2 linked regions of the Styela clava genome follow. The protein of the gene in region 1 purifies or fractionates together with the protein of each later gene. This does not show direct contact. Links are inferred from orthologs where the notes say so. Each region holds a gene or a part of one and is shown on either strand. Other genes may lie near its edges. The genes, in order: pre-mRNA-splicing factor ATP-dependent RNA helicase PRP16-like and nudC domain-containing protein 1-like.

The links.
Region 2: the proteins of pre-mRNA-splicing factor ATP-dependent RNA helicase PRP16-like (region 1) and nudC domain-containing protein 1-like purify together in Homo sapiens (co-immunoprecipitation; 3 studies listed by BioGRID and IntAct, with this or other methods). This does not show direct contact. The link is inferred for Styela clava from reciprocal best matches to the Homo sapiens genes DHX38 and NUDCD1.

Annotation. Positions count from the first base shown.
Region 1 is NC_135256.1:11,008,400-11,024,501, forward strand, and holds pre-mRNA-splicing factor ATP-dependent RNA helicase PRP16-like, read left to right. Parts: upstream 1-8,791; 5' UTR 8,792-8,827; coding exon 8,828-12,253; 3' UTR 12,254-12,356; downstream 12,357-16,102. Other genes in the region: protein TEX261-like, read right to left, coding at 13,313-13,428, 13,511-13,628, 14,006-14,227, 15,340-15,419, 15,724-15,793. UniProt on the Homo sapiens protein: Probable ATP-binding RNA helicase. Involved in pre-mRNA splicing as component of the spliceosome.
Region 2 is NC_135256.1:18,143,439-18,159,751, reverse strand, and holds nudC domain-containing protein 1-like, read left to right. Parts: upstream 1-8,058; 5' UTR 8,059-9,125; coding exon 9,126-10,943; 3' UTR 10,944-11,134; coding exon of another isoform or gene 11,135-11,396; 3' UTR 11,397-11,543; downstream 11,544-16,313. Other genes in the region: man(5)GlcNAc(2)-PP-dolichol translocation protein RFT1-like, read right to left, coding at 11,135-11,396, 11,544-11,690, 12,212-12,323, 12,491-12,629, 13,596-13,683, 13,754-13,847, 14,226-14,439, 15,699-15,990 and 1 more.

The sequences.
Region 1 (16,102 bases):
ATCTCCAATACTAACCTATTACATGTCCACGACTGCTCTGTATTCACCACATATACAAATCATAACGCACTTTTGAACTACCTGACCAGACGCGAACGACAAGTTGACTAACACGACTCATGTCGAAGCAGCGTTGATTACCGAGTTGATTACTATCCCGCGTTTTGTAGAATCTTCAGTTAAACCAATCAAAATCCGATCCTGCTTTTACCCCGCGCGTTCTTTTAATCTTCGGATTTAGCCATCAACGCTCGGTCCTACTTACTCTGATATTTACTATCGGCGCATTCACTAGAACAGTGGTTATCAAACGGCGGGCGTGAAACTAATTAAAAATAAAAATATTTGTTGGATTTGATCTTGCCCGCCTTATTTCGGAAGATCACATTTCGGTGCTCCGGAAGTGTGTGTACTAATATGGAGGTAGCGAATTTTATTCTAACCCTAACCTGGTACAAATACTGCGTAGAGATAATATCGGGCCCAAAAATTCTAGCCCGGCCCGACCCAGGCCCGTGGGTATTGAACCCGACCCCGACTTTTTAAGTGGATTTGCAGGCCCGAAGCCCGAAGCAAAACCGAAATTTCATATTTTATTTATGAGTTCTTTGAATTGCCATTGCAAGAGTTTGGTACAGTATGTGTCGTATTGATGGGGCAACTTCTTTTTTTTTTGCAGACCACGGTCTCTCGTGGTCAAAACACGGCCGAAACGCCTCATTTAAAAAAAAATCAGCAATGGAGAAGCCCGACCCGACCGGACTCGAACGTAATGATTGACATTTTAGGACCGACCCGGCACGAACTTCGGGTTTGGTGAAATTCTAGCCAATGCGAGGTAGGCTGATAAGTGCACAGTAATAACCTTGTTGAGTGACATTTAACAGTTATTGTATTTCTAAATACTGATATAAAAACTGAGTCGTTAACTGTTTGAATGGCATTTGACCGTTATTGTAGTTTGTAAATACTGTTAAAAAGAGGCATTAAGTTGACACAAGCATTTACCTGTTATTGTATTGGGATAGAATAGAAAGAATGTGTGGAAAAATATTAGAAAAACGCCTGGAGAGCAGTTTACTACCAGAATCGTAATGCATTTGGTGGATTAGATGGCAACTCAAAACTCGAGGGGCAGGATATCACATCTACACTGATAGATTTTATACCAGCCCAACATTGGCGGTGAAGCTTCTAGAAAAGGGAATGCATACAACTGGAGCCGTTCAAAAAATCGTAAAAGTCTTCCAGAGGATCTCAAACGCTCGCGCTTGAAAACCCATGAAACAAAAGTTTACCGACACTCCAGCAAGATGCTAATAGCTTTAGGTTGGCACGACAAGCGTACTGTGCTTATGCTCAGCACCTGGCATATTGCAGATGTGAAGACTGTTTCACGAGTAATAAGAGGAGGGCAGCAGGAAGACTTTGAAACGCCCCTGGTGATCTGTGACTACACAGAGCGCATGGGGGCTGTTGACCGCTCAGACCATTACTGCACATCTTATTCGTTTACCGCCTCGACAGTAGTATGCGCTATAAGCTAAGAATTGTTAAGTACAAACACAAAATGCGAGTGTTTCACCACTGGAGGTGTGAATTTTTCGTCTTTTTCTCCTCAAATATAAAAAAAAAGAACAGAAACACCTTAGAAGAACATGGAAAGGAAATGATTTAGTATATAAAAAAAATTAGACCTGTGGGAAACTTTTTGGTAAAAAAATGCTCGGCGGTGTGGCGCATCGTGCTAAGCGTTAGGAGTACGCTCGCCACCGCATCTCTGATTACTCTTCGTGGGTTCGCAGGTTCGAATCCCGTGCGGCGAGGATCATGTGCGAGGGGATTGCTGGACTCCTCGCCGCCGTAGGGTGGTTCACGTAACCGCTGGTCGGTTACGGCTTCCTCTACCATCAAGTCTATGCTTCCGAAAAAAAAAAAACATATAACTAATTATTCCCATACCCGACATGGAATGGTAACCGGACGAGAGGCCGTGGTTCGCCATATGGTTAGGCCGTCTTATCGGCTTTCCTCTCCTCCGGGATGAATATGTAAATCCTATCCTTCAAAAATTCTTTTAAATGCTGACCAAGAACACTTGAATGAATTGAAATAAGACTAGTCGAACGGTAAATATCATTAAGCTTGCATGGGGCCGGATCCTTCATCAAATTGACCAATTCAAATGACAGTCGTGCATAAATCACACCTAAACACCGATTCAGCAATTGGCAACTTCCATTTAAATAATTTCGTTAAATTTATTAAACATTCATTGTCATTTATAATAAATTTAGTTGAATTACATTTTCAACATTTGACACAATGAAAACTGTTAGTGTATTTATTTTAACCGATCTTGATCCAATCAAACAAAATATCGTTGCAATTTGAAATCTACTCACTCGTCGGCGCCGGAATGTCTGGCGTCAAATCTGTAACGGCGACGCAACATGACGTCGTCAAGTTCAACGAGTGCGTCAGATGCTATTATTCTTCAAGAAAAAGATATTTCAAATTTAATTTTTTTCTCGAATCTCGTGCGATATCTCTCGATCAGTCTAATTTTTTTTATATACATTGTTAACGCCCTCTATCGAATGACGGTAATTTGACGAAGTTGGCATCGGCAGAAGTCAATCAATCAATCAATCAATTTTATTTGGTCACTCTGATACAAACAAAAAACAAAACATCAACAAAGGGTAATCAGTAATCAGTAGTTTATTTCTCACCATACTTAAAATAGGCACAAACATACAAATTGCAATAAATTAAATTATAAATTGGCCATATTTCAGGGTGAAGGAGACGCGAGAAACCAATACTGGTTATCGAGCAGCGGCACCTATAAAAGGTACAAAGGGCAAACAAAATTCAGAGGACCTGGAGGACGGGCATAACTTAATAATAAAGTTAAATACGTACAAGTACGTGCCCGTCCCCCCAAAACAGTCAAAACACAATAAAACAAAAACACAATGTGATATCGGGCAATATCTTGTAAATTCAAATTAAAATGTGAGACGTGTATATATGTGCTTTTCCTACAGATATATGTATCAAAGAACACTCGCTGCCGAAAAATGGTGATGCTGTAGGCCTAGTTTAATTACGTTCAATTACGCAAAGTAACACAGTGACAAATTCACAAGTCACGATTTAAGCCGTTCGAAACGGTGTGTCAATTTTTTGAGCTTGTCATTGTTCGCTATCCCGATTCTATAATCAGTTACTTTTATTTTTATCTATTATTTTATCGTCTATTGCTGATTATGGAATCGAAAAAACTTTTAGGGCCCTAAATTGCGGGGAACGGAAATGACGGGAAAAGTTACTAACAAGCGGGAAAATGTTACAAAAAGCGGGAATGACGGAAAATCGCTCGAAGATAAAGGAAATATGTATTATAGTACGATTACTACGTACATGCACCCTTAATAAACGACACTTCGGATGTATTTGCAACAAAATGGCGCACTACCTGAGATTTAACCTGGTACACATACTTGGTTCAGGTTGTGCGCCATCTTGATGAACATACTCGGGAGCACTGTATAAACTTGCCGTTACTTTCGCCCTTCAGTAAAAATTTACCTCACACATACTCTAAAATAATATTTCTCATACCTTAAAGCAAATTCCCGTCATTCCCGTCTTTTGTGAAATTTCCCGTAGTTCCCGCAATTTCAAATTGACAAATTCCCGTCGTTCCCGCAATTCCCGTTTTTTAGTGCATTTCCCGTCGTTCCCGTTTCCCGCATTTTAGTAAGGGGGAATTTTCACCAAATAGCGGGGAATTTCACACAAAGTGGGAATGACGGGAAATTGCTCTAAGATGGGGGAAATGGGCATTTTATTGTGTATGTACGGGAAATTGTACTAGAAGGCGAGAGCAACGGGAAATATACACTTGAATGTGTAGGTACAAGAAATTGTATTAAAAAAGCGGAAATTACGGAAAATATTACTCATAAGTAGGAACTATGTGATATTGTGGGAAATTTCACTAAAAATTGGGTGGGTATAAGGGAAATTCTCTAAATAAGCGGCGATGACGGGAACAACGGTAATTGATGGCGATGACGGCAAAAGCGAACGTATTGACAAATGATGGGGAGATCGGAAGAGTAAGAGCATCGCGTAAAAAATAAATAATATGTATTTAGCTGTTTTTTAGCTGGCGATCTAAACCGTCTTCCTTTGTTTTACGTAATTTATTACGAGTGTTACTTGTATATTTTTGTTATTCAGTGAATTGATATTTCCTGTTAACTTAGCATCATTACAGTGCTGTTTTATTTGTGTGAAGGGTGTTGCCCAATATTGTCTTATGCAAGTACAGGTTTAATGCTCCCTATAATCTGAATCTTCCTTCTAATTCTCTTTAAAGGTACTTTAGTGGAATTAACCGAATACCCTCAGAGATCAAATAGGAACGCAATGGATTGTAATGCAAAATTTTCATATATTGTAAAGTTGTACGATCGAATTGAATTGTTCCGAACAACAGATAGTGAAATACACTTAACAATGATGCAACTATATGTGATGAAACCAAATTCCATGGGCCCTTCCCAAAACTTTCAACATTTTTTGAAATGCAATTTGGCGACATTTGCAGTGAGAGATAAATTCTTATGACTTTTTCAACGTCAATGTGCTATATTCTTGAACGATTTACTGAAAACCGGACGTTTCCCGGCTTGCTATCAATAATCCCTTTTTCATATGAATCAACCGATAAACCAACTTACAACTTTACATTAATTTCCTTCAGTTGAGTTTTCCACTGAATGACCTAGGTTTCTATCACACGCAAATTTAAATGGATCGTGTACCCGAAATTTCGTTTCAATTTTGTTAATAATTTGCAACAGCACACCTTCTCTGCGACTAAGTTATGGTACGCCTTGACATGAATTGATAAACGATCAGATACCGACTTCTAGAAAACATTTAATTTTGATTGAAATTTAATTTAAACTCCGTTGAGAGTGAAATATTTCGCGTATATATTTGAAGAGAACTATTACTGAACAAGTTCATTCGCCGGGCATGTTAATTGACGATCATGTTTTTTATTCTGACATTTATATTTATGCTATTTTATTCCCATTTGTTGTACCTCCATTTGAGTGGCGGTAAACGAAATGAGGGAACACGTGGTAGAACACTTCTTGCAGCAGTAATCATAAAAGAAATGTAGCATTTTCTCCTAATCGTTCTCGGTTGGAGGTTTATTTTGAATGGGTTAATTACTTTTTTGTGTTCGAGCAAATTCCTGAAAGCATTTCTTATTTATTGTAAGCCAGTTGCAAATAAAATGTCTTTGTCTTGTTACACTATGCTGCTAGCATGAATATATGCTCGGTATCTCCTTGTTTAGCAAGCTCTATCGCAATAATGAGCCCATATATCACAGAGATGACAAAGATCTGTGTGTACAAAGTTTTCCTTTATGTATAACCCAGAGTCACAAATTATGTACTAATATTTTGGAGATAATAAATCTGTAATGAGTCCAGCCTTAATTTAATATAACAATAAGTGAAATACCACAGTCACATATTCTGGGGTGGGACTGCGGGAACCAATTCTGTTACTGTTGCAGCACTGTTTTGGATGGTACAATAGAATTGTTTCCTGCGCTTATTTTCACAATTGAATTGCATCAAATTGCCTCAGTCCTAAGGGGATGGTTGGTCAACACCGAATAGTTCACTATTTATTATATTATTTTCAAATATGAAATTTCGAATACATTCGAAAATAAAATAAAGTAATTGAGGCTTATCTATAGTAGCCTATATAAAGGAATTTGCATACAATAAACAATGAAATAACTGTTATCAACAACATGTTGTCTACCATGCATTTCATGATTGCAGATTATTGCTATATATTTTCATATACCATGAGTTACGTTATCAGAATTAAATTAATACGACAAGCATTTAAAATAGAGCTATCGGTCATGGATTTGAACATTTTGCGCAACACAAAATCATCCTAGTAAAGTTTGAATACCAACCATTATCCAAATTATTTGCCAAAAAGCGGGATAAAGTATAAATTATATTTCTGACTTGCGACAATTTTTTCGTGAGTACGTAAACACGAATGAAAAATTAATTATATTCGGGCACTTCAGTGTCCGCATATATATCTTTCATTATTTTATCATTACGAAATTATGAATATGGAATTAATTATAATCGGACAGTTTACCACACATTTAAGTCTATGGATCACCGTTGTATTTTGTAAATACGAAAATAGGAATCAAAAAATAAATAACAATCGCGCAGTTGACCACACATCTATGTACATAGATTGCCGTGGTATTGTGCCCGAATATAATTAATTTTTGATTCCGTATTTCATTCCTCTTAACTCTGTTAACTTAATATCTGTTTTTAAAATTTTGCAAGCAGTTCACGCACGAAGACTTTAAATAATGATGTATTAGTCAAATTGAAGTCCTGTTAGACCACTGGTTCTTAACCAATGTGTCATGGCCCACTGGTAAGCCTCAGAGCCATTTTGAGGTGGGTCACAAACATATTATAAATTACAAGGTTAGTTGATTGGAAAAATTGATTTGATAACAAAATCAGCTTCACGCGTCTTGAAAAACAAGATATCTATTTGCAAAACATGCCTCGCCGTAACCCACCCAATGTGGCGCAACAAATCCATTATACGGCAGTAACTAGAAATGAGTATATATATATAGCAATTTGCTTGCACATTACATCAAAATTAAAAACATTATAACGAGAATGTCATGGCCTTCAATATTCGCCAGGCTCGAACTGAGCATACCATATATAAAAAAGTAACATAAAACGAATCCATTGTCTCATAAATATTAAACTAATATATTAAATTTTCTTCACTATCCGTCGGAAGAAATTTCATCCACTTCGTCCTTTTAGTTTTCAGCTTTTTAGTGACTTCAACCACATCAACACCAGTCGGAAGAAATTTCATCCACTTTTTCCTTTTAGTGTTCAGCTTTTTAGTGACTTCAACCACAATAACCCTCGTCCAAAGAAATTTCATCCACTTCTTTCTTTTAGTGTTCAGCTTTTTAGTGACTTCAACCACCTCATTATTCGTCGGAAGAAATTTCATCCACTTCTTCCTTTTAGTGTTCAGCTTTTTAGTGACTTCAACCACCTCATTATTCGTCGGAAGAATTTTCATCCACTTCTTTTTTTAGTGTTCAGCTTTTTAGTGACTTCAACCACCTCATTATTCGTCGGAAGAAATTTCATCCACTTCTTCCTTTTAGTGTTCAGCTTTTTAGTGACTTCAGCCACCTCGGAAGAAATTTCTTCCACTTCTTCGTTTTAGTGTTCAGCCTTTTAGTGTTTTTTAATATTTCACCTTTGGGAACACTTCAACTTCCGTTTTTCCGCCACTTCATCCGTTTCTTCCTTCAGCCTTTTAGTGTTGTCCTGTACGGGGTAATTGTACTAACATACATATTATCCGAATCTTAGAGCGATTTCCCGTCACTCCCACTCTTTGTGAAATTTTTCGCTTATTAGTGAAATTTCTCTGTCCACACAACCCAAGCGTATATTTCCCGTTGCTTCCATTTTCTAGTGCAATTTCTTCTAAACATACTCTGAAATGAGTATTTCCCGTACTTTAACGCGATTTGCCGTCGTTCCCGCATTTTAGATAAATTTTCACGTACATACACCCCCAAGTGTATATTAACCATTGCTTTCGCTTTCTAGAACAATTTCCCCTAAACATACCCCAAAATGAATATTTCCCGTACCTTAAAGCGATTTTCCGTCATTCCCGCTTTTTGTGAAATTTCCCTCTTTTTAGTGAAATTTCCCATAGTTCCCGTAGTTCCCGCATTTTAGTGCATTTCCCGTAGTTCCCGTTTCCCGCATTTTAGGGTTGCCCCTTATTACGCCACTGTGACGTCGAAAAAACGTAATTTTTCGGTAAGGTGGGGGTTAGGATGAACATATGCAAAAATTGTTGAGCCATACCAACTAGAAGTGCATGTGGTACTAAACTATACCAGGCCCGACTTGATGGTGGAGGGAGCCGTAACCGACCAGCGTTTATGTGAACCACCCTACGGCGGCTTGAAGTTCAGCAATCCTCTTGCACATAACCATCCTCGCACTGCCGCATGGGATTCGAACCTGCGAATCCACGCAGAGTAATCTGGGGTGCGGTGGCGAGCGTATCCCTAACGCCTAGCACAATGAGCCACACCGCTGCGCATATTTTCACGTCACATTTTTGTTTGGCGATATTTGAGGAGTTACCGTACAGATTACCATACTTCGCTAGACCCGTTATTTGTTTTGGATGTATGTCCCCCAAAATAGACTACAGTCTAAAATTTAGTTTTGTCATTTTCCTGATAAGCTAATTGAGTGCCGTATTTTACCATGCAACAATATGATTAAGCCGTTTTATTGAACTTTACTGTCCCAGAGATAAATATAAAAATGTATGTATATATGTTTATTCGTCTCGTAAAAGCAATATAAAAGAATTAGTAATTATAAATACTGAAGACGGGATGTATGCACAAGACCATACTGGCCTAAAACACGAATGTGCGGCATACACCCCTTCTGATATGTATAATATGGTCCTTTATACAGATAGTTGTGCAAGGAGGGTGGGTGGGTGTGGTAACAGAGGTTAGGGTGAAGTATACAAAACTGTTTGTACAAAATTGTTTACATTAAAACAATATAGACTATATATAGTTATATCCATGTTGCAGATATTAACCCTCTTATCTTCGATTGTACAATACAGTTATTAGACACTTATAATGGATGACAATGATGACGAAAGCATTCATCGACTTGAGGGGACAAACAACAGTGGAAAAGTTTTTGGATTAATTGTAAAAAAGGATAAGCACTCTAGCAAAGAGCAGCATGTTTTCAAAAAGCCTTCATTGCTGGGACTCGATAAACTTGCCGATCAAAAGTATAACAAAGAAAAGGGGGCAACAAATTATCATGGAAGAAATTATCGGCCAGCCAGAGTTGAAACACCTTCGTATACCGGTGGTGTAAGTGATTCATATAAAGAAAAAGCAAAAAATCGTGAGGAAAAACGAAAAAGAGAAGGGTATACCACTTCAAGTGATAAGAAACGTCATGATAAGGGTCGTTCGAGCGAAAGGAAAGACGACAGTAGAAAGCGAGAAAAGAGAGATGATCGCACTCCTAGGCATTATAAGTCTGATCGTCGCATGCAAACCCCTTCCAGAAGTACTTGGGAGGAGGAGGAGTCAGGATACGGTTCACGGCGATCATGGGAATCACCATCGCCAGCCCCATCATATTATAGATCTGAAAGGTCCCATCGTCCGACTAGTTCAAGGCGTCCTAGAACATTGGAGACACCATTACAAACACCAGCTCATCGTTACAATGAATGGGCAGATGATAGAAAACGCTTCAAAGAAACTCCAAAACGAGATGGTGAGCGTGATGACAGTGATGGCGGAGATTGGGATGACGTAGATAAGCAAGCTGATAGAGATTGGTACATGATGGACGAGGGGTATGATGAAACACATAATCCATTTGCTAATGCTTCAGATGAATATGTGCAAAAACGAGAGCAGCATATGAAGACTCAAAAAAGAGAGAAAATATCTGCACAACGAAAACAAATTAATGAAGACAATGAAAAATGGGAAACGAATCGTATGATGCGTAGTGGTGTTGTTTTACAAACTCACTATGATGAAGATTTTGAAGAAGACAATGCAGCTAGAGTTCATCTTCTTGTTCATAATATCGTTCCTCCGTTTCTAGATGGAAGAATTGTATTTACTAAACAGTTTGAACCTGTTATTCCTGTAAAAGATGTTACGTCAGACATGGCTATTGTATCACGAAAAGGTAGCCTCACAGTTCGAAAGCACCGAGAAATGAAAGAGCGAAAGAAAGCACAGAAGAAAGAATGGGAACTAGCTGGGACGAATATAGGAAATATCATGGGAGTTAAAAAGAAAGATGATGGTGAAGACCCATCAGAATCTGAGGAAAGCGATTTCAAATCTCAGCAAAGATTTGCTAATCATATGAATGAAAAAAATGAAGCAATGAGTGAATTTGCTAAATCCAAGACTATGTTGGAACAAAGACAATATTTACCAATATATGCAATTAAAGAGGAAATCTTAGGAATTATTCGAGAAAATAATATTGTAATTATAGTGGGTGAAACTGGTTCCGGTAAAACGACACAGCTCACACAGTATTTACATGAAGCGGGATATTCTTCACATGGGGCCATTGCTTGTACCCAACCACGTCGTGTTGCTGCAATGTCAGTTGCAAAGCGGGTCAGTGAAGAAATGGGTGTCAAGCTGGGAGAGGAAGTTGGGTATGCGATTCGATTTGAGGATGTCACGAGTGATAAAACACTCATCAAATATATGACTGATGGTATTTTGCTTCGTGAGTCGTTAAGAGACAGTGATCTTGATACGTATAGTTGTGTTATTATGGACGAAGCTCATGAAAGGTCTCTGAATACAGATGTGTTGTTCGGATTGCTACGTGACGTAGCAGCACGTCGACACGATCTCAAGCTTATTGTAACATCGGCTACTATGGATGCGAATAAATTTGCTCAGTTTTTTGGTAATGTTCCTTGTTTTACTATTCCTGGTAGAACTTTCCCCGTTGATATCCTTTATAGTAAAAATGTTGTGGAGGATTATGTTGAATCAGCTGTAAAGCAAGCTCTCCAAATCCATGTACAAGGTTTTCAAGGCGATATACTTATATTTATGCCCGGTCAAGAGGATATTGAAGTAACTTGCGAACAATTGACAGAAAGTTTAAATGAAATTGAAGATGTTGCTGTTCTGGCAGTTTTACCGATATACTCTCAATTGCCTTCAGATTTGCAGGCAAAAATATTTCAAAAAGCCCCTGAAGGAATTCGGAAATGCATCGTTGCCACCAATATTGCAGAAACATCATTAACTGTTGATGGAATTATGTATGTCATTGACTGTGGATATTGTAAAATGAAGGTTTTCAATCCTCGCATAGGTATGGATGCTCTGTCAATATACCCAGTCTCACAAGCCAATGCAAATCAAAGATCTGGTAGAGCTGGAAGGACAGGTGCTGGGACTTGCTACAGGCTATTTACTCTGAACCAATACAAACATGAAATGCTTGCATCAGCTGTTCCTGAGATTCAAAGAACTAACCTTGCAAATGTTGTTTTGTTACTAAAATCACTCGGTGTACAAGACCTCTTGTCATTCCATTTTATGGACCCACCGCCACAGGATAATATTTTAAACTCTATGTATCAATTATGGATATTAGGGGCCCTAGATAATACAGGTGCGCTAACGACATGTGGTCGTACAATGGTAGAATTTCCTCTTGATCCCCCATTGTCAAAAATGTTGATCGTGTCCTGTGAAATGGGCTGCAGTGCTGAAGTTTTAATCATTGTTTCCATGCTTTCTGTCCCATCTATTTTCTACAGGCCGAAGGGACGAGAGGAAGACAGTGATACCAAAAGGGAAAAATTCAATGTCCCAGAAAGTGACCATATGACATTTTTAAACGTCTATCAACAATGGAAAACGAATAGGTATTCCACAACTTGGGCTAATGAACATTTTGTTCATGCAAAAGCAATGCGAAAAGTCAGGGAAGTAAGATCTCAGCTCAAAGAAATTATGGACCAACAAAAAATGAGATTGGTCTCTGCTGGTAATGATTGGGATGTTATTCGCAAATGCATTTGTGCAGCATACTTCCACCATGCCGCTAGATTGAAAGGCATTGGTGAATATGTTAATATAAGGACAGGTATGCCGTGCCATTTACATCCAACGTCAGCATTATTTGGAATGGGATTCACCCCTGATTACATTATCTACCATGAACTTGTCATGACATCGAAGGAATATATGCAATGTGTAACATCCGTCGAAGGCGAATGGCTCGCAGAACTGGGTCCCATGTTTTATAGTGTAAAAGAAACTGCAGCTTCCAGGAAAGAAAGGAAGAGAGCAGCAAGAGATAAAATGTCAGAAATGGAAGAAGAACTCTATCTTGCTAACGAACAAGTTAAAAATCGCAAGCAGGAGGAAGATGAACAAATACAAAAGACATCAAAACGTTTGGTTATTGCGACACCGGGTAGAAAAGATGGAGTTGCGACACCAGCTACACCAAGACGTACTCCCAGATTTGGTATTTGAATTTCAAATCTGTCAACACTACTAGTCTTGTTCCACTCCCCTGTAGTATTTCTAAACTTCCTCAATCATTTTTTTGTACACCAATAAAATTCTATTGAGAACATTCAGTCTTATTTGTGGCCTGCCTGTGTAGTGCATGTTTCTAAATGCTACATGCAATAATTACACAAAGCAGACTGTTCAATAATCGCTACTCAGGAACAAGCTTGGCTGTTGAGTGTTGACTGTGTTATCGGGTTAGAACTAAGTCGTGTGTAATAATACATCAATTATGTACCAGTTTCATGTATCTGAAACAATTGACAGGCTGATAGTTATTACCATACATCACAAAGATTGGTCAATGAAACCTTTTTACCTTTCACCGTCAAATGATTTTGATTTCCTATGTCCAGCATCTGCCTTTGACAAGTGATAAAAATGGGAAATGGCCTTACACAAAATAACAAATTAGGCGGTTCAAAAATGTCCTGAAATTTTTTTATTGGACACACAAAGTGGGTCGTTTTTTGCTGGTAATCATCATGTTAGTATTTCTTCTCAATCTTGATTAATTAATGGACCAATTGCTCTGAATTTTTCACTAGGAGGGTTTTACCTATGTCAAAAAATTTTTTTGGCTCCTACGGGTGTGATGACATCATCGAAAATTCCCTGTTACGATTCAGCTGTGATACAGTACTGTTGGCTACTGTGACAGATTGCATAACTGTACCGCTTCCTGTCCATATATTTGAGCATCGCTCTCTTATTTGATGATTTGGGCATCGACACAGAGTAACCTAAAAGCAGCTCAGTACACCATATTCAAAATTGGAAGCGCACATCGAGCCTAAGTATACTTTATCTGAGATCAAAAAATTAGTTGTGTATCATAGGTTTATTAGTAGAAACACAAAAAAATCATACGTAATTTTAATTAAGCAATAAAAACCAAAGTAAAAAGTCAACAAGTGGAACAAACACTTTTGCTTCACCAATTGTGATTCAAAGCTCTATGCCCTAATCTACTCCAAACTTAATAATCATGACTGCTTCGCAGAAATGTTAGCTAGATAATCAGTATCGCTTGGCTCGTGATGGAATTACCATATTTTTACAGCCCTCTGCAAAGGTGAGAAGGACAGATCTTTTCTTTTTTCCCTTTGTCATATAATGAGACAGAACATCGTGATCTGGAAAAAATATACAAAAAAAGTGAGCGACCTATGCTCAGTAAAGTATATATAAATATTTTAATTCATAAATTTCAATTACCTGAAGATTCGCTTAGCAAAGGTTGCACAGTTGATGGCAGTACATTGTCACCAGCTGATAGTGATATGAAGAAAGTAAATGGTATCACCCACAAACATAGTGTGAAGAATGCCATAATCTGTGAATAAAAAAGCATATTAACCATATTTAAATCTCAAATATCGCCACATCATTCTAATTGTTTGCACCTCTGATTACCCTGAGTGGATCTGCGGTCCAAATCCTGTGCATAGCCGCATAGACATACAAATTGGAGAATTTCCCACGGCACCCCTGACAATATTTTACGGCACACCGGTGTGCCGCTGCACCCCGGTTGAAAAACACGGCCCTACATTGACTGGCAACCAGACGAGAGGCCGTGGTACACCATATGATTAAGCAGTCTTGTTGGCTTTGTTATCCTCTATATATAAAAATTGGGGAATTCAAAATAGGAAAACATTCACATGTAATAAGGGCTGGAAAAAGATAAATAAATAAGGTGTAAATTACCTCTGCAAACGAGTAAAAGACATCGCTAAAAAATTGAAAGGCAAAGTAATGATTGACAACAACTAATACAACAGTGAGAATAAAGTTCGGTGAAGACATTTCGATAAAAGGAAATGTTCGGAGTAATCCAAATTCGACAACATTTGTAAATAATCCAAGTACAATGATTGTGAATGGAAAACCTTCAAAAATCCATAACCCAATGTAAATCCCACATGAAACCTGAAAAATAATTAAATGAATTAATCAACTTACGTACTGAGACGCTCACTAAATGTTGAAAGCTTTTCAGATTATTTGAAAAAACAGAACCCATGTCATTAGAAAAATATTGTAGAGAGTACATAACTTTTGTGCAAAGCATTCTTCTTGTGTAAAATAATACAGAAATTTGATACAGTTTGTGTTTACATCAGTGTTTCCCAACCCGAGTTCGCGATCTCAAATGAGTCCGCAGAGCGTTCGAATGAGTCCGCAACGACCAAATTGGAAAATTATGTAGTAGTATATTTAATGTAGGTCACTAACCTTTTCAGTATCGCGAAATTCATTGCGGGGCGAAAACCTTTTTACCATACTTAAAGTACAAGCCAAGTTACGATTTATGTTAGTATTTACATAAGACATAAAAGGCAAGTTTATTCACATAATATTAATCGAGTCAATAATTACTGAGGGCTGGGCAAAATATTCGAACAGCAAACTATCAGAATACCTGGTAATATGTGAATTGGACACAGCACGTCAATCGCGCTGAATCAAACGATTGGATTGCACAACGGACTCGCAGATTTCTGACAAAAACACGAGTTTACACGTACTTTTCGCTTCCGTTAAAATTGAGTGTTATATTTGTGCTTTTTATTTATTTGTTTCCCGTAACATCATTGCTACATTTTTTAATGAGCTTATTGTGCGCCAATATCGCATGAATTTCACATCTTTTCAGTGGGCCAGGCCATTTGGTAAAATTCGAATCAGCAATACAAATGACAAAAATGTAACATTTCAGAATTTTCCGAACGGATATATTAATTTGAATATGAAATACCATTAGGTGAGTTCTATCAGACTTCAATGGATACGCAGTAACAACATTTCGGAGGATTTGTTTCAAAGCAAAAAAACAACAACATAGACTCGATAGAAATTGCTGGCTATCAAATGTATCACTTTCACAAGGAAATATATCTTGTGAATGTGATCTACAAATTTCAGTATGATATAGTTAATATAAAATATATCAGGGAGTTCCTATAGAGATATAATAAGGCCATAAAAAATATGATGGCATATAAAGCTAAAATAAGAGGAAAGACATATAACTACTTTACCATGAGCATTACTCTTAAAATTTTCTCTGTTATAACTGTGTATTCTTCAATAAGTTCAGCCAAATAATACAATGCAGCAGCTGAAATAATAACAAAATGTGGCTGTTTTATTAATTACAATTATGACTCAGATTTAATAGTTAAAAGGTTGGCAATACACCAGTTTGATTTCTCATAGTGCAGTGAATTAAATTCATGAAGGCAGTAAGAAGCCCAAAATTCTAGAAGTGGTAATGTCAATAAAAAATAAACAACTGTTCAAAATATGACTCGACATTGTTGACGAGTGATAGAATGTCAGAATGTTGACTCATGATTATAACACAAATAATATCTGTCACAGATTATTTTAGATTTATTATGAGAACAAAAATTGCAACTTACCTATGGACAAGGTAACAAACAATATTTGTAAAAGTATAGAAAACCAGCTTAAGAGCCACAAAAACCACATCTTTGCATGTAATGGTCAAGAAATGCTTCAATTTGCTGGAGAGAAAGTACGGTATGACTGTGCATGAAAACTGCAAAACAAACCTTACTGCCTTAACTTACAATACACTTCAACTATGCTGTTTCAAATACAAACGAAATATTTAAACTATGTACAAGTGAAAATCATTTGAAGTTGTTTAATGATGATTTATAACAATAAATTCCGACATTGCATAAAAGGATATATTGAGACCTAACCTAGTTCCAACGTTGAGACACTGCAGTATCTGTCAATGTTAGGCCATTAAGTAAACTGTTACCAGTACTA
Region 2 (16,313 bases), about 7.1 Mb from region 1:
GCATATGATTTTTGGGGAATTGTTCTGCGTGTCCATATATTTGAGCATTGCTCTCTTGTTTTGATGAGAGTCTACTGGAAACAACATAAAATTTGAAAGGGAAGAATTGTTCTGTGATCAATTATCTGTCCTAAAGTGTAAACAATATAAAATTTGCAAGGGAACAACTGTTCTGTGATCAATTACCGTATATGGCCTACAGTGTACAGGTAAGATGCTGCCTGACTGCTAACTCAGTACCGCTTGACACGTTTTTAAAAAGTCGCTTTTCTCTTTGAATACTGGACCAATTGCTTTGAAATTTTTAGTGGTTAAAGATAAAAATTTTCTTCAGAAGGCTATTACTTTTTTTTCGCTATGACGTCATCAAAATTATGTGACTCTACGTGTCCATATATTTGAGCATAGCTCTCTTGTAATTTAATATGTTTCTCCCAGTGTCGAGAGAAGTGGAAGAGGCAAACGAATTGTATTTCATTACAACAAATAATTATTATCCCTAAAAACACTAAATAGGTTTAAAGTTGTTATACACAATTTTAAACAGTGGACATATTTTTTCACGTCATGAATTTTGTGCAAGGCCCGAGCATAATTTGATGGCAAAGATCATAGCATGTAGTATGTCGAAACGCTTATCCGACTTATCAGACCACAGAAACTATGCAAAAAAGATAAACATTTTTGTGTTCGAGATATAAAATAATCGTTAATTCCATCACGCTTTCGCGAAGTAGTGCAATTCACTAAATTTAATGAAAGTTTTATTTCATTGCACCAGTGTTTGGGCTACCAAGCGTTTTGCCAGATTACTGGCGTGGTTACAGATCGCCAAGGTGGGCAAAGTCGAATAGTTTTATCGAATCGAATAGTTTTATCGAATCGAATATTTTAAACGAATTGTCAAATATCAGGTATTCACAACGCTATGTTATTGTTACGTAACAATATACGCGGTTGTGTTTATTGCTTGGCGTTCCAAGTTCGCTTGCAGCAATGTTGATGTGGATCACGCAGAACCAAGCAAGAAAAACGAAAGAAAGACTTTATTAGGCAATATGATAGCAAAAATTTGGAGTTAGGTTTACTATTGTTCCCAGCAGCGAAAAAGTACCACTTCCCAGGTGCCTAGTCTGTGCAAAAATTCATTTAAACGACGCAATGAAAACCCGCAAAGCTAACGAAATCGCTTGGAAGTCAACGCTCTACTCGCCTTGCAGAAACTTCATTAGAACCGGATTTAACACGTATAACATCAAATTCTTCATTAAATTGGATTGTCTTCTTTTGCACCGCCTACTTTTGTCGTAATTGCATTCTTTTAATTATGTTTTGTGTTCATGACATTTTTGGTTAATTTTGAAGGTCCGCCGGTCCGCAAAATTTGTTTTGAAATTTTACCGGTCCGCGAACTGAAAAAGGTTGAATACCACTGCTGTACACCAACTAATAAAATGTACAAATAATGCAAATAAGAACTTTATTAGAAAAACAGAAAACAATTCCACATCACGTGAATAAAAGCAAACACTGTACAGTATCTTAACATCTTTTTTTTGCTTTGAGTCCATAACAAAGGGCAAAAGTAAAAAAAAAACGATCAAACAAGTTACGAAAAAAACGGCTTGAACAACCAAAATAACGTACAGTATCACTGAACTGTGTACAGTACTATATCACTGGAACTGTGTACTGTACCATGTGACTGTAGCTTAGTGATTATTCGTTCACAATCGTAATAGTTCGCAATTGGTCACGTCATTTACGATGTAAATAACAAAAACCAATGAGCCCAGAGCACTGATTTTCTTGATCACAATGATCCAGTTTATAGGCTTAGATATTACAGTAGGCTACAGTATTATCTTTTATATCTGTATATGTTCGTAACCTCGAAACAGCGTAAGTCGTAACCCGAGGACTTCCTTGTATATGGTTTAACCGTAAATATATACTACTACGGTTCAACCGTAGTAGTATATATTTACGGTTTCCCCGATTTAAAAAAATGTACCACAGTTTCGTCATTTGTGTAACATTGGAGGAAATTGTTTATGCATGGCAAACTGTTGAATAGAGCAGTGGTTACGTTTAACCGTAAATTTATGATTTAACCGTAAATATATACTACGTAAATATAATAGTATATATTTACGGTTTCTTCGATTAAAAAAAAAAAGGAAACACAGTTTCGTCATTTGTGTAACAATGGAGGAAATTGTTTATGCATGGCAAACTGTTGAATAGAGCAGTGGTTCCCAAACTGTGGGTCGCGACCCCCGATGGGGTCGCGTGAAGATTTTCCGGGGTCGCCTAATTTCTTGCAAACATGCGAACACAAGTGACTAGGATTTTAAAGTTGGAAAATCAAATTTGTACTGGTCGGCAGATACCGTAAAAGTACCTAACTTTGGATTTTTCAGCAATAACTCGACAATTTATTGTCCAAACGGCGCCAAAATTGCTCGGTAGAACTTTCATGCGATACTTTTCCAGCTGGCCGGCAGATAACGGTATTAGTAAAAGTAATTGAATGACCATGGTACGAGCGCCAATTATATTTTCCTTTTTATAGCTTTTTGATCATGTTACATCCCTATGAGTAGTTGACCCGATGGTACGCGAATCGGGTTTTTGCCAGGCTGCGAGAAATCATGTTGATTTGTGATTATGTACCAGTGTAGCCGCTTGGTTACCGAAAATACAAAATAAATTACTTTATCCGGCGATTGGACCTTAATCAGGTGTTTGGTAAGTGTGGTATTGGTTGACAGGCGGGGTCTTGACCAAGTAATTATTAACCTCTAGGTTTCGATCCGATGCGAAAGCGCTTTGTTAATTCGCGCACGTGTCTAAAATCTACGAGTAGGCTACGTGTTTTGTCCACACCGCCTCCACATGGTGAACATTTTCGTATTGCAATATTACGTATTTAGACGTTTCACATAAAATTACGAAGCGTTCCGAGCAGTCAAACACAAAACCACAAGTCCTAGCTTTAATAAAGGCACTTGAAATATGTGATTCAATACACGCTTTTTCCTATTTCACATTCATGCTCTGTTTTACTTTCGAATTAATATTTGAGCAATCTGTAATATGTTAATATAGAACTGAAAATAATAAAGACGCTGTTGGAATATACTAAATAAGAGAACAATCTTACGATTTCCGAATATCGTACGCGTCCTTACAATCTACCACATTTTATCAAGTACATCTATGTTTCGTCAAAGAACCGTTATAATTCTGATATAACAGATTATTACACCGTGGTTTTCATACGATTTCATGTGTTATCAAATCTTCTGAGGTTTTTCCGGCGCATTGCCGGACTCGTTCATATATTTTTTGTGCCAATGTTCACCGTCAACGTCTACTTGCAGTCGATACGTTTCTAGTTGTGGGGTCGCGAGTATTTGTAGGCTTTGATTTTATGAAAATTGGGGGCGCAAAAAAAAAAGTTTGGAAATCACTGGAATAGAGGATATAGCGTAAAAATGTTTATAAATGCGAAAAAAATTGATGCTTCTAGAAGCGGGAACTGTCAGTCCATATAATCTTTTATTAATAAGAAAAAAACCTTAGACTGATTTCCAATTACTGCTGCATAACTCATTGAAAGATAAAATGATCATTGTGTAGGATAGGATTTACATATTTATCCAGGGGAGAGGAAAGCCGATAAGACGGCTTAATCATATGGCGAACCACGGCCACTCGCCCGGTTACCAGTCTAGGTCGGGTATGGGATTAGTTAGCGAGTTATTTGTTTTCGGAAGCATGGGCTTGATGGTGGAGGAAGCCGTAACCGACCAGCGGTTACGTGAACCACCCTACGGCGGCGAGGAGTCCAGCAATCCTTTCGCACATGATCATCCCCGCATGGGATTCGAAGGGTAATCAGAGATGCGGAGGCGAGCGTATTCCTAACGCTTAGCACGATGCGCCAAACCGCCGAGCCAATAGTGTAATTTGAACCGAGAAGCGAGTGTAATTTGAATTAAGCCTAAACCTCAACTGCACTCAACACCAGATCCGAAAAGGCCAAGCTTCTATTAAAATTAGTTCGTTACCGTAATTTTGTTTCAAATCAGTTCGTTACGGGTACCGGTAAATAGGCTCCGTTGCGTATGTTTATCTATGGACGGATAATTTTAAAGGTTTTAAAATCCGCTGAGAGTAGAACAAGAGAGCTACGCCCAAATATATGGAGACGTCTGTTCGCAGTACGGTTTACCGTACCGTCAGATCACAGTCTACAAATATATTCACACCAAGCAATGACATTAAACAACATGATAGGCAACTCTGACGTCACTCCGTAAGACTACAAGCGAAAGATTGTATTTCATGATACGCTCCAATGCACATATTTCTCGTCGCCTGTCGCGACCGTTTTCAGCTCGCTTTTGCTACTCGGCGTCTTCTTTACGTGTAGTACCTGCCTTTTTGCGACTGTAACGAAAGAAAATAATCTCTATATCTAAGAAGTTTTACTCACTTGGAAAGCTGGAATGGCAGACAAGCTGTAAAGAGCAATTCTGGACATCATAGACGTTTTTTATCAGAGAAGATTACAAACGCGATAGCGGAAAGATTTGTGTGGAACATTTTGCAGATAATAACAAATTTCAAAGTTAGTAATTTTAATGTTTGCGCTTAAACATTGAAATTTCATTTAAAGAGGGTGTCATACAGGACAGCAAAACTGTTTTTACTTCTCCTAACGGTGCTGTGATACAATTCCATAACGTAAAGTTTGCACCTATCGAACTTGTTTTTGTAGGTGAATTAATTAGACATATTACATATTCAGTTAATCGTAGGTAACATTGCTGGTACATAATGCCTCGTAGATAGGTTTGTTTAAATTTAGGAATTCAGCTCATAGCCCACTAATTAATATTATCTTCTATGCAGGAGGTTGCAGGGCTGGATTCAACTTGCAGCCTTACCGATCACCTGACCATGCTCATTTAGTTTGGCTCGAGCAAGTCTTCTTGAAAGACTTGTGTGAATGGAAACTACCTATATGTTTTTGCTTTCCTCCGATTTTAGAAGACAAATTTATTCTGAGGGATTTCGCATATAATTCTCATTGGTTGTTGGCTGTTTATAATTCCTATTAATTGTGAATTCTGATTATAACAAAGAGTTAAAAAAAAGTTACGTAATTTACTGGCACCTCTTTTTTGTCAATACTCCAAGCTGAGGTAATAAACAGGACAATACATTTATGTCATCTGGAAGCAAAATATGCACACTAATTAATAGTTTGACACATCATCAGAAAATCCAAGTTAAAGATATGTATGACCATCACATGGTATTTAAAATTAAAAAAAAATTAATAGCGGCTGTGGAGTATGAAAAGTTCAAGACAAAGAAAAGAACAAAAGTTCATAGTTCATGAACTCTTAATTTTGCCTCCATTGCTTTGTGAAGGCCAATATATTTCGAGTGGCCGAATTAGTTTCCCTCTATGATAGCAACGTTTTTGTATTTAATATAGCAAGATTTTTTTCAATTTAATTGAAGTGATATTATTTCCCAAAGCAATGCTTGAATCGTCTAGAATAGATCAGTGGTGTCAAACCCATGGGTTTTCGAGAGCCGCATTGCATTTTGGAAATTGTAATAAGGGCCGCAAACAGTTTTTGATAATGTATACTTGAAAGATATTTTTAAGATAGTTTTAGTTTGTGACATATGTTGTGATGCAACTAAACAGTTGCATTAAGTTTCATTATTTTCTTTAATTTCAAATGCAATTACATATTAATATTTGCATTCCACTATTATTGCAAGTTACTGTATTTATTACAAAAAATCATGAAATTCTCTGTACATCCATCAAAATCATTTTTGAACAAACTTTGGATAAGGAAAGAATAATACATACACTAAAAATGACTTAATTTAAATATATGAACCTAAAATTAACAAAAATACTACAGTATAAACTCAATGTTTTTTAATTACATTTGTCCTGACGTTTTGTATCTTTTTTGTGTCACCAGCATACTAAGGCCAGGCTGAAATGATTTTATAGTACCAACTCTAACTAACGAGGTCACATGATCATGAGCTAATCTGGATCTTTGCGAAAATTAATTCCAATAATGCAAAAAAGTTATTTTTATAATTTCATGTATAGATCAGTAAAAAAACACATGACAGATTTTTTCGACAAGACATTTCGCACCACATTGCGTGGCATAGGATTGCTTGAATTATTATTGATATCGATTTTTAGTAACTAAGTCGTTGTATAATTATATTAATATACAAACACATGAAAATTTTCTGTTCAAAGTTGCTCTTCGAATTTGTCATATTGACTGCTGAGCTTATTGTGTTTTTTCATTGTATTGATGGAAATATGACAAATTAAACAATGTGCTTCAGAATTTTGTGAAATGCAGAAATATTGCAACTCTCATTTTCTTTGAAAATGCCACCTTCTTCATGTACTTTGCGTTTAATTTAATCACTCAAGTGTTTTATTCAAGTATTCTTTTGCTAGCTTGATGTGTATTCTTAATTGGGTCAAAATGTGAACAAAAAAAAATTAATTTTCCAAAACTACTTTCAGTAACTTGTTTTCTGTGTGAATAATCAATTTCACTTTAAAAGGTTTGAAAAATCTATTACATTTAGATAGAAAAAAAAACTTCCAAAATACTATTACAATTATTGCTAAGCGTTCGAGGGCCGCACTGGAAGTTCTCTGGGGCCGCGAGTTTGACATCCCTGGTCTAGATTGAAGTTGTCCAAAATATATATAACAGTATTTTATCATGAATATACCCTTTCCTGAATTTCTTCTATAGTACTACCAAAAGTTGATGAACCAATATAACACAGGTGTAGCTGTTATAAGTATGTCTGGCGTGTTTTGTGCCTTTTTACAAATAGGACCGCTTATGCAAGCTCACGCTTTTGAATTTTTTGTTATTTTCTAGCCCTGCAGGGTGTGGGGGCCTTACACAACTCTACCGGAGGGTCAAATGTCTTTGCATGCCTCCATAGGTTGTTTTTCTATTGCAAAAATTTATGGAGTACTCTAATTATATTTCTTGGAATCACACGGTCACTGATATGTCGCCAGACTTCTGATATCTCCCCTTCTGCTATAGTTGTCCTGTGAATAAATAATAGGAAATTGAGATCAGACGAATAGTTGAAACTTTTGCTTTATGTCGGCTTAATTTCTTGATTGATATACTTACTATTTTTGCTATTGCCTCTTGTGCTGCAGGAGTTTCACAATGCTTAAACAGGTTTGTCCAGATTCACATCTGAAGAAGGAGAGGAGATTTATTAATTTTCGTCAAGAATAAATGAAGCAGTCTATATGATTTAGAATGGAAAAGCTAATAAGGCCAACATCTCATGTTTAATGTAAAAAATGTTATATTGAATTTGGTATATAAACCAACTAATAAAGGAATTTAGTCAGAAAATTACAAGCATTCGTGGCTCCATATACTTGAGAGATCAGACTATACAATATAGACCGGTATGAGTGAAATGTTAGGTGAACTTGTTAACCCTTTGATTCAATCCTCACTGATTAAAAAAAATCTAAATGGAGGTGCATGAACTATTTGAAACCATAAGAGGTAAGTAAATATGCAATTTTGGCAAATGGGCAACTACGTACCGTACTGAATTATTAACTTCGTAGTATTTGACAAAAGCTGGCTTTCCCACAAGTACTTAACAGTGCGATGCCCGGATGTGGTATACAACAACCTCAACTTTCCAAAATATCAATAAAATCGACAACAACTGTCAAAGCCGGCACGAACACCATTCGTGCTATGCCTTGAAAGCAGCACACATCCGCTCGTTTTCGTCTCGTCAAGTATGTGCATTGGAGCGTGCTATCGGATACGATCTTCGGCCAAAAATGCCGTAGTTGCGCATCATGTTGTTTAATGTCAGTGCACCAAGCGAAGCAGTACAGTAGGACACAAAATGGCGTCCGATGTCCACAGAACGAAAACAAATCTCACAGAGCTAACAGAAATATTTAAAATTGGGAAAATTTTTATCTCCAACCACTGAAAATTTCAAAGCAATTGGTCCAGTATTCGAAGAGAAAAGCGGTTTTTTAATATTTCTACTAGGTGTGTTATTCTGTGTCAAACAACAAGAACAACATAACATTGAAACGATCGTTATGTCCACTACGTGTCCAATAAGTAAACGATTTTTGTTTTCATGTCACCTCTTCGATGTATGCTGCCACTTATTGCCTACGTGACGCCACGCGTGCTGCAGTTGCTTTGTAGAAACAAAATTTTATTTTACCTGGACTATCGCGGTGGAGTCAGAAATGGAAGACGAGTTTGATGTAATTCTTTTCGGTGATTCACGCGAAAGAGATCGTGGGTATGTAGAAGGAATAGCGCACGGATCCAGAGTTGGAAAGCTGGAAGGTTTTTCAACAGGATTGAACCAAGGACGTTTGACAGCTGGAGAAATTGTTTTTTATCTGGGATTTTGTGAAACATACATTATGCAGCTGAAAAATTTATCGAGTAGTGCAAACTCAAATAATTTTAAATCTTCTCCCGACCAAAGTAAACTTACATTAAAGTTGAAAAACACAATCTCGCTTATAAACGAGTTTATAACCCTCTCACCAGAGGATGAAAAATATTCAAAATATATGAACGACATTCGAACGAATCTGAAAATTTTGTCCTCAAAATTGAAAGTTTCTATTAGTTTTTTAAAAAATTCTAGTGATGTAAATTTTTAATAGGAAGAAATAATATCAATTTTTGGCTATGCACTGTACTTCTTTTTATGATTGACTATTTTATGCCATGTCTGCATGTTGTTTACATGAAGGTGTGCTCCAAATCCTGGATATTGAATTTTAAAAGGATATGTTGTATCATATTTCGCTACGATGATAAATGTTACCTAATTTAACTATCTGCAAGTGTATATTCTCATTCATCGTTTTTTATCAGTGTTCACATTTAGTCACACAATTTTCGATGACCACTTGCTTGATTTTGTCAAATTCCTCACGATTGTAAGGTTTGGTTATCAGTGCAATTATGATATATTTTTAGTGCTCTTCAGTGTAAAATTATCATAAAATGGATGCCAAAAATATTAATTTGCGTCCTGACTGGAATTTATTGGATTCTACTTTTGAATCATATAAGCTGTCTCTACAGCAATTGCCGGTGTATCATGTAAATCCAGACTGTGAATTAGATACGGTAACTTTGGCTAATGACGATTTCTCATACAATCGAACAAAGGTTCTCTCCCTTCACAACTACTTATTTGGCGATCCATGGAATGAAAAAGAATGCTATTTTGTGGATAAAGCTGGTCATATTAAACGTTTGTCTGTTATTGTTGAGGCTTCAATAGGACAACCTCGATCAGTTTTTCAACTAGGATCTCATTTTTTACAAACTGAAAGGCATATGCCTGTAACAATATCTTTCCCCTCAGCTAATTTATGCTTGATATCTGATGGGGCAGGATTGGTATATCTTCTTGATACTGGGAACCGGCAAACTGATACAACTCAAAAAACAAAATGGACTATCTTATTAAGTGGGAACATAGTAGGTGAAAATTCGGAACCTTCTGTACTTCTGTGTTCACGGCAGCATTTTGAAGATGCAGAACCTGAATCTGGAGATCATGGAAAAAAAGATGTCATTGATATTTTGACTTTACGATTTCAGGATGAAAAGAAAGATGATGCCGTGATATCACAAGCTGTTGTGGAATGGACTTGGTTATTTCGATATGATGAAAAGTCCAAATTTGAAATTGGCGAACATAGAATGTTCAAAGGGAAACAAGCACCTTTCTATGCCACCTTGGGTGAAAGTGGTAAAGAATTATTCATCGGGTCACATTCACCAATGAAATATGCTACTGATTGGGAACAGCAGGTTTTGAGTGAAGAAATGGAGATTGAGAATGGAGAAGCTGCTGATAAAATGGACTCCGCACCAGAAAATTCAGAATCTCTGTATAAATGGACTCAAACAGATGAAGATGTAACTGTTATGATTCCTATGCCAGAAGGAGCAGACAAAACTTCTGTTGTATATGGCTTGTCCAAAAGTAAGTTAACTGTTGGTTTCAAGGATGCGACAGGAAAGATTAGTTATGTTCTGGATGGGAAACTATTTGTCGAAGTCGACCATGAATCGAGTAACTGGTCTGTTGAGGGCCAAACCTTGACCGTAACAATCTCAAAAGAATTGGAAGGCCAAAACTGGCCAATTGTTATATTAGGTGACACTAGTGGTCAGATGATTCCCAACAACGCAGATCAAGATGTTGACATGGAGACAAAAGATGAAATGGCAGATTTAGAAGCAAGAGGTTTTCAGCCTACAGGCCTTGATCACTACGAGGATTGTGATGACTTGCCTGATGCGGATTCAATGCTGTACATGTTTGATGCTACAGAAAACAAATTCACTTATGAAGCAGGCATAGCAAGTAATCAGTGGCTATTTAACTGTTACTATAATCATAAATTATGTACAGTGCTGCGACATGATATTGACGCTTTAGTATGGGAATCTGACACTCCCAGTGAGTCTTGTTCCAGTCCCTGGAAACATGTTGCAACATTCAATGCACTCGGGTACGTGAGAGCATCTAAAGAAGATGTAAAATATTCAGGATGCTCTCCGAATGCCTCTTATTCTGCATTATGTGAATCCAGCAGCAGGGTGTTTGTTTATCACAGCCCAACGACAACTGCGGCACCCCTTAAAAACCGAAAAACAGGCAAAAGCATGCATGTTTCGAAACAGCAAGTAGTCTCATTGCCTTCCAATGAACCGATACTTGGATTTCATGCATCTTCTGAACTTATGTTCGTGCTCACAGGAGCTAAGATTTTTATAATTAAAGTGACTGCTCCAGACACATGACTGTCAGTCAGATTCACTACAACAAATATCAATCATATCTACTGTATTGCAATTTTGCCGAAATAGAAAACTCTAGTGCAAAAAAAGTACTGCATTTCATTCATAAGCAAAAATGGATTGCTACAAACTCCTACAAATGATTGTTTACGTGGAAATTGTAATTGTGAACCATAAGGTGATGGACATGTGTTTTAAGCTTTCTTTTTCTTAGAAAAATACTGCTCTTTTAAAAACTCTACCACTTTTTCCTCCGCCAGGTACAATACATATAGAAGTCCTGCTAAGCACGCTGCTCCTATTATTATGTGAATTACATAGTAGATCATTGATAATCCGTGGCATATATTTTCTGACAACCAGCATATGGTGAATGCTGCAACAAATGTTTGCACCACAAACCAGTGAGGTGTCAATGCTGTTAGAGGATCCAATCCCTTGTGCCCTTTGAAATATCTAAAATTAATGGGGAAAAGTATTTTACTATGTACAAAACGATAATTAGATATATAAAGATACACAAGAACTGTTCAATTCACCATATAGTGAACGACGTAACATAATATGCCATCATCTTTTTCATAAAAAAGATTGATTGCTCACCTTTTTATGAAGTAGAAGCTGTGTATTATTCTTACAATCATGTTCAAGCAATTTGCAAAAATAAATCCAACTGATCCAAGATATATAGTGAAGTAATATGAAGAAGTCAGGAACAAGAGAGAAAATATCAACATCTTTTGATTGTACCTTGAAAATTAATATCATAAATGTTTCATAGGTGATAGGATATCAAAATATTCAATCGCAGCGATCTAGCCTTGTTCATAAATGTCTGGTCTAGAATGTGCATGGATGACCATCATGATTTCATTTAAAAAACACGCCAAACCGCCGGCATTCAAATCTTCGACGTTTAGTAGATATTTGAAATTGGACATGCAAAATATTCTGGAGCTACACACAATGCATAAAGGCGTATTTGCTAATAAAGACATGCAATTTTAAGCTTTTTAAAAAGGGTGTAACAACTTGTTTCTTTGGCCCACTGTTTTAATTCAAGCGTTAAGCACCCATTAAAAAATCTTTGCCGAGCCATAGCTGGACTGTGCTGTAGCTGTAACTCCCATAATACCGAGTATCCATACATATGGGTAAATACCAGTAGTTAAATATTTTGACTTGGACGAGTGGGTGGACAGGCGACCATGGCTCGTCATGTTCTCTCCCTTCAGAAAAAATACCATAATCAAAATTCTCTGCAAACTCACTTGTCAACATCTTTCTGGCTCATTGCAGCAAATACAAAGCATTCAGTTGTTCCATTAATTGCAATCAATAATACATAAAAGGAATAAACCCTCAATAACCCTGGACCAGAACCTGTATGAAAAATAATAAGAAAATAAATTGTGTAGAAAAACATCTATCTTGCATCTAGTATTTTTATAATATATACAAGCTGACAATTCTAATCTGTAACAAATATCTTCAAAACCTTGCATGCATATCAGTGAATTGCTAATTATGCATAGATTTCAAGTTTTTACCTTCACTTAGCAATGATCCTCCATATAGATGCAAAAATATGTAGGAGTAAGAGAATCCAAACACAAGTATTACGAGTCCAATCAAAACAACAAGCCGTAATACACAGAACAGAACGTGCCGGACTAGTTTGACTTTTTCCTTTGAAACAAAATATATATTTGTTTATGTAGGCACCCAACATGTGATTATACCAATGAATAATATGATCCTCTAAACCAGGGGTCGGCAACCTACGGCCCGCTGAGCAATATAATCCGGCCCGCGGCGCTTTGCTGAATTATAGTAAGAAAACAGCTGTTTTAACAATTATATTCTTTACGTAACAGAATTTATTATGAGACATGTGTAGACAAAATTATATTATAACCTAACAAGTATATAATTCATAATTACTCGTTTAATGAGCCTATAATTTAATTATAATTAGACAAATGGCAACAAAACGCAAAAAAGTTGATGCTAAGTGTAAATGGTTTATTAGAGCAGAAAATATTCAAATGGTCAGTCTTCGCGCTCTGCTTAAAATTTAACTTCTGACCTGTGTGAAAAAATGTGATTCATCGGCCATCGGTTTGGCCCGCGAGTGACAAAAGGTTGCCGACCACTGCTCTAAACTCTAATTTAACGTAAAACAGAGTAAATTTGATAAAATGTTTATGATTTGTTTCATCAATATTTTATAGTAGCTCATATACAACAAATACTGTAGGTACAGAATATTTGTAGGTACAGAATATGACCACATTGAGTGATGCATGAGAAAACGAGATGTGTTACTGTTACCCCAAGTTTACTATTGCAGCAATAAAAAAGGGATCTTTTATATTGGAAGTAATCCTTAGAATTAGGATTTTCATATCTATACCATGGAAAAGAACGTTCATAAAAACTGCTTAATCATATGGCAGACTCACAAATGGTTCAGGTTAGGTATAATTGCAATTGCATAGACTTTGGTGATGGAACAAGCCATAACTGGGCAGAAGTTACCCAGGTCCAGCAATCCTCTATTTTATGAAAACCCAAGTGTGTTCCTGTACATTGTGTGACCCCAATACAGGATTGGGGATTGTGTACCTATGACGCCTCTTCATAGTAACATACCTGATTTTGTGCCTGAAGTGGAACACCTCTCTCTAACATTTTAGCGAAGAAAACATAAAAACTTTCTTCAATTGGTAAAAATATGAATCTGAAAGACAAATTCAGTGTTTAAAACTAGATAAAAAACAACAGCCAATAACACATTTAACGGAAAATACCTTGCTGCCATTGATCCTAGATTATTAACAATATCATAAACTCCTTGATCTCCAAATGTTAGTACATTGAATATTGTCATCACATACTTTTCCCCTAAAATTGGGAAAACAATTTCCTTGAACAAAAACATTTCTTTAGACTATTGTTACTATAAATCTCTGATACGAGATGTCAAAAAGCAGCTGATGTGTTTGAATTGATTAGAATCTTTCAGAATAAAGTAGATCCAGTTGAAAAACAAATTGACACAAAACTGTGTGACAGTTCTCTGATGCAAATTTTAATGATTAAGATCATAGTGCCCATGAAATTGAATTTGCAAAACTAAAAAATCAAGTTTCGTCTCCAGATCTCAGACACAACTCCTAAGCTAACCACCTCACAAGTCACAATGGTTGCTTGTTGAGAGTCTTATTCTGAGAAAACAGAGTGAAGTGAAAACACCTAGAACATAACTAATTATTCAGTTACCTTCAGTTAATATTTGCTTCAGTGCAGACTGTTTGAAAAAACTCCATATCAAACTTGCAGTGTCACTATCTACTGATGATGGTAATGTGGAAGTAGGAAAGAATTGCATCATGCTTGTAAATGGAAAATCATCAAACTTCTTGTAATTTTCAGTGGAAATATACCAGGTAAAATAACCATAAATAATGAAGACATATGAAATTGAAAATATGATCTGAAAATAGAAACCATAAAAACAGATGAGAAACGAAACTAAGTTGTTAATTGGAGCCAATCGGGCAATTATGATTATTTTATTAGGAAATATGTAATGAAATTCTGACTAAGAGTAAGAGGTGGACAACATAATATGTAGTGCCAATGAAATATGAGCGCATTTACATTTTGAGTCTGAAGTGACTTGTTTAATTTTGAATCTGAAGTATGGTCACAATGATTAATGTTTAGGTCAGGGTGGTCCAAGATTGGCAGCTCCGCGGGCCACAAAATTACTTTTGCATTGTTTGCGGGCCCCAATAGTGCCAAGAACTTTGCTCGTTTAACTTCGCTAGTTGCCTCAGCAAGCCATAACACTAGTCAATTCAGTGACATTAGTGATGCAACAATATGTCAAAAGATTTTTTGGTAAATTTTATGACGAAACAACACGAAATGCGATTTTTGATTCCTCCCCGAATGCGACGCGGGCCACAGATAATGAAGCGACAGGCCACATGTGGCCCGCGGGCCTGGATTTGAACCTCCTGGTTTAGGTTATTTAATCTGATTTATAATTTTATTTAACTTGGTCACTCTTGTTCTGATGAGATTTGGTGATAAATTCAACTTTTATCATTCTAGCATTTTCTTTGGCGTCATCATACTAAAATCCCATTCAGTGAAAGTATGCACATTGTAAATAACCAACACATTTATTCATCAAAAAGCCATATACCAATATCACAATTGCAGATAAGTGTAATCATTAACTAAGGCAGTGTTTCCCAGTTGATGGGTCACGACCTCAACGAGATTCAGCTAAAAATATTCTTGGGTCACTTCATTTTTATTGACTTTATTATCTAGTAAATTTTATATTTGATATTGAAGTGTTAATCATTAGTAATTGTATACGTGGGAAATATCACGGTGTAAAAACATGGCAGCATCTATTCTGCCTAAGTGAAGTCATGCCACAATTTCAAAAAGCCGACGATGGCAAGCAAGTGCACTTTGAAGTAATTTTTGGTAAAATAAATGTTAGGTAAAATGATTGCGTTGTATTATTAAATTAATTTTGCAGCCATAAAAACCCTACATGTCATTTAATATTTGAGCATATCCTTGGATCGTGATTTTACAAATTTTATTTATTTTTTTCAAAATTTGGGTCATTTGTAAAAAGATTGCTTGGGAACCACTGAGTTAAAGTATTATTCATCTAGTCTGACCTACATTGACCTGTTTTTAAGATTCAAAAAACAAGTGACTTACCTGTGCAACACAGAAAGCCAGAATGCCCATTTTCGGAAACAGGACAATTAATATGACAGTTGTAAGACATTTTAAAATCATGGGTATTCCTTCTGATAATACCCTCAGTCGTACAAACATCAATGCTTGTGCAAAAATAAACAGTGGTTCAGCGAGTAGTTCGATCACAACAGAAATACCAAAAATAAGAGCAGCTGTGGAGTAATATGGCACCAATACAGGATCAGGTTTGCTAAGATGATTCATCCATATGTAAGTTAGAAGCGATGTAAAGAACAACCCAATAGGAACACTAAAAAGACAATAGTATTTGTGATTTTACTGGGAATCTGAATGACTGCATTATAAACAGTGGTTTGCAGAATACCATGCATGCTCGAGGTATTTACTTTACTGATAAAAACATTTTATATGAATTTCAGGAGAAACACATTACTAATCTTATAAAGAGCACAAATCATGATAAAAATTTACAAAATAAAAGATTCTGTACAAGGTATTGAGCAAACTTACATGCACCACAACAAGTTCATCATTTTTCTCCATTCCAAAACATAATTTTCATGTTTGTCATCTCGCTTTGGTGCTTGGCTCAAACATGCTCTGAAAAAAGAA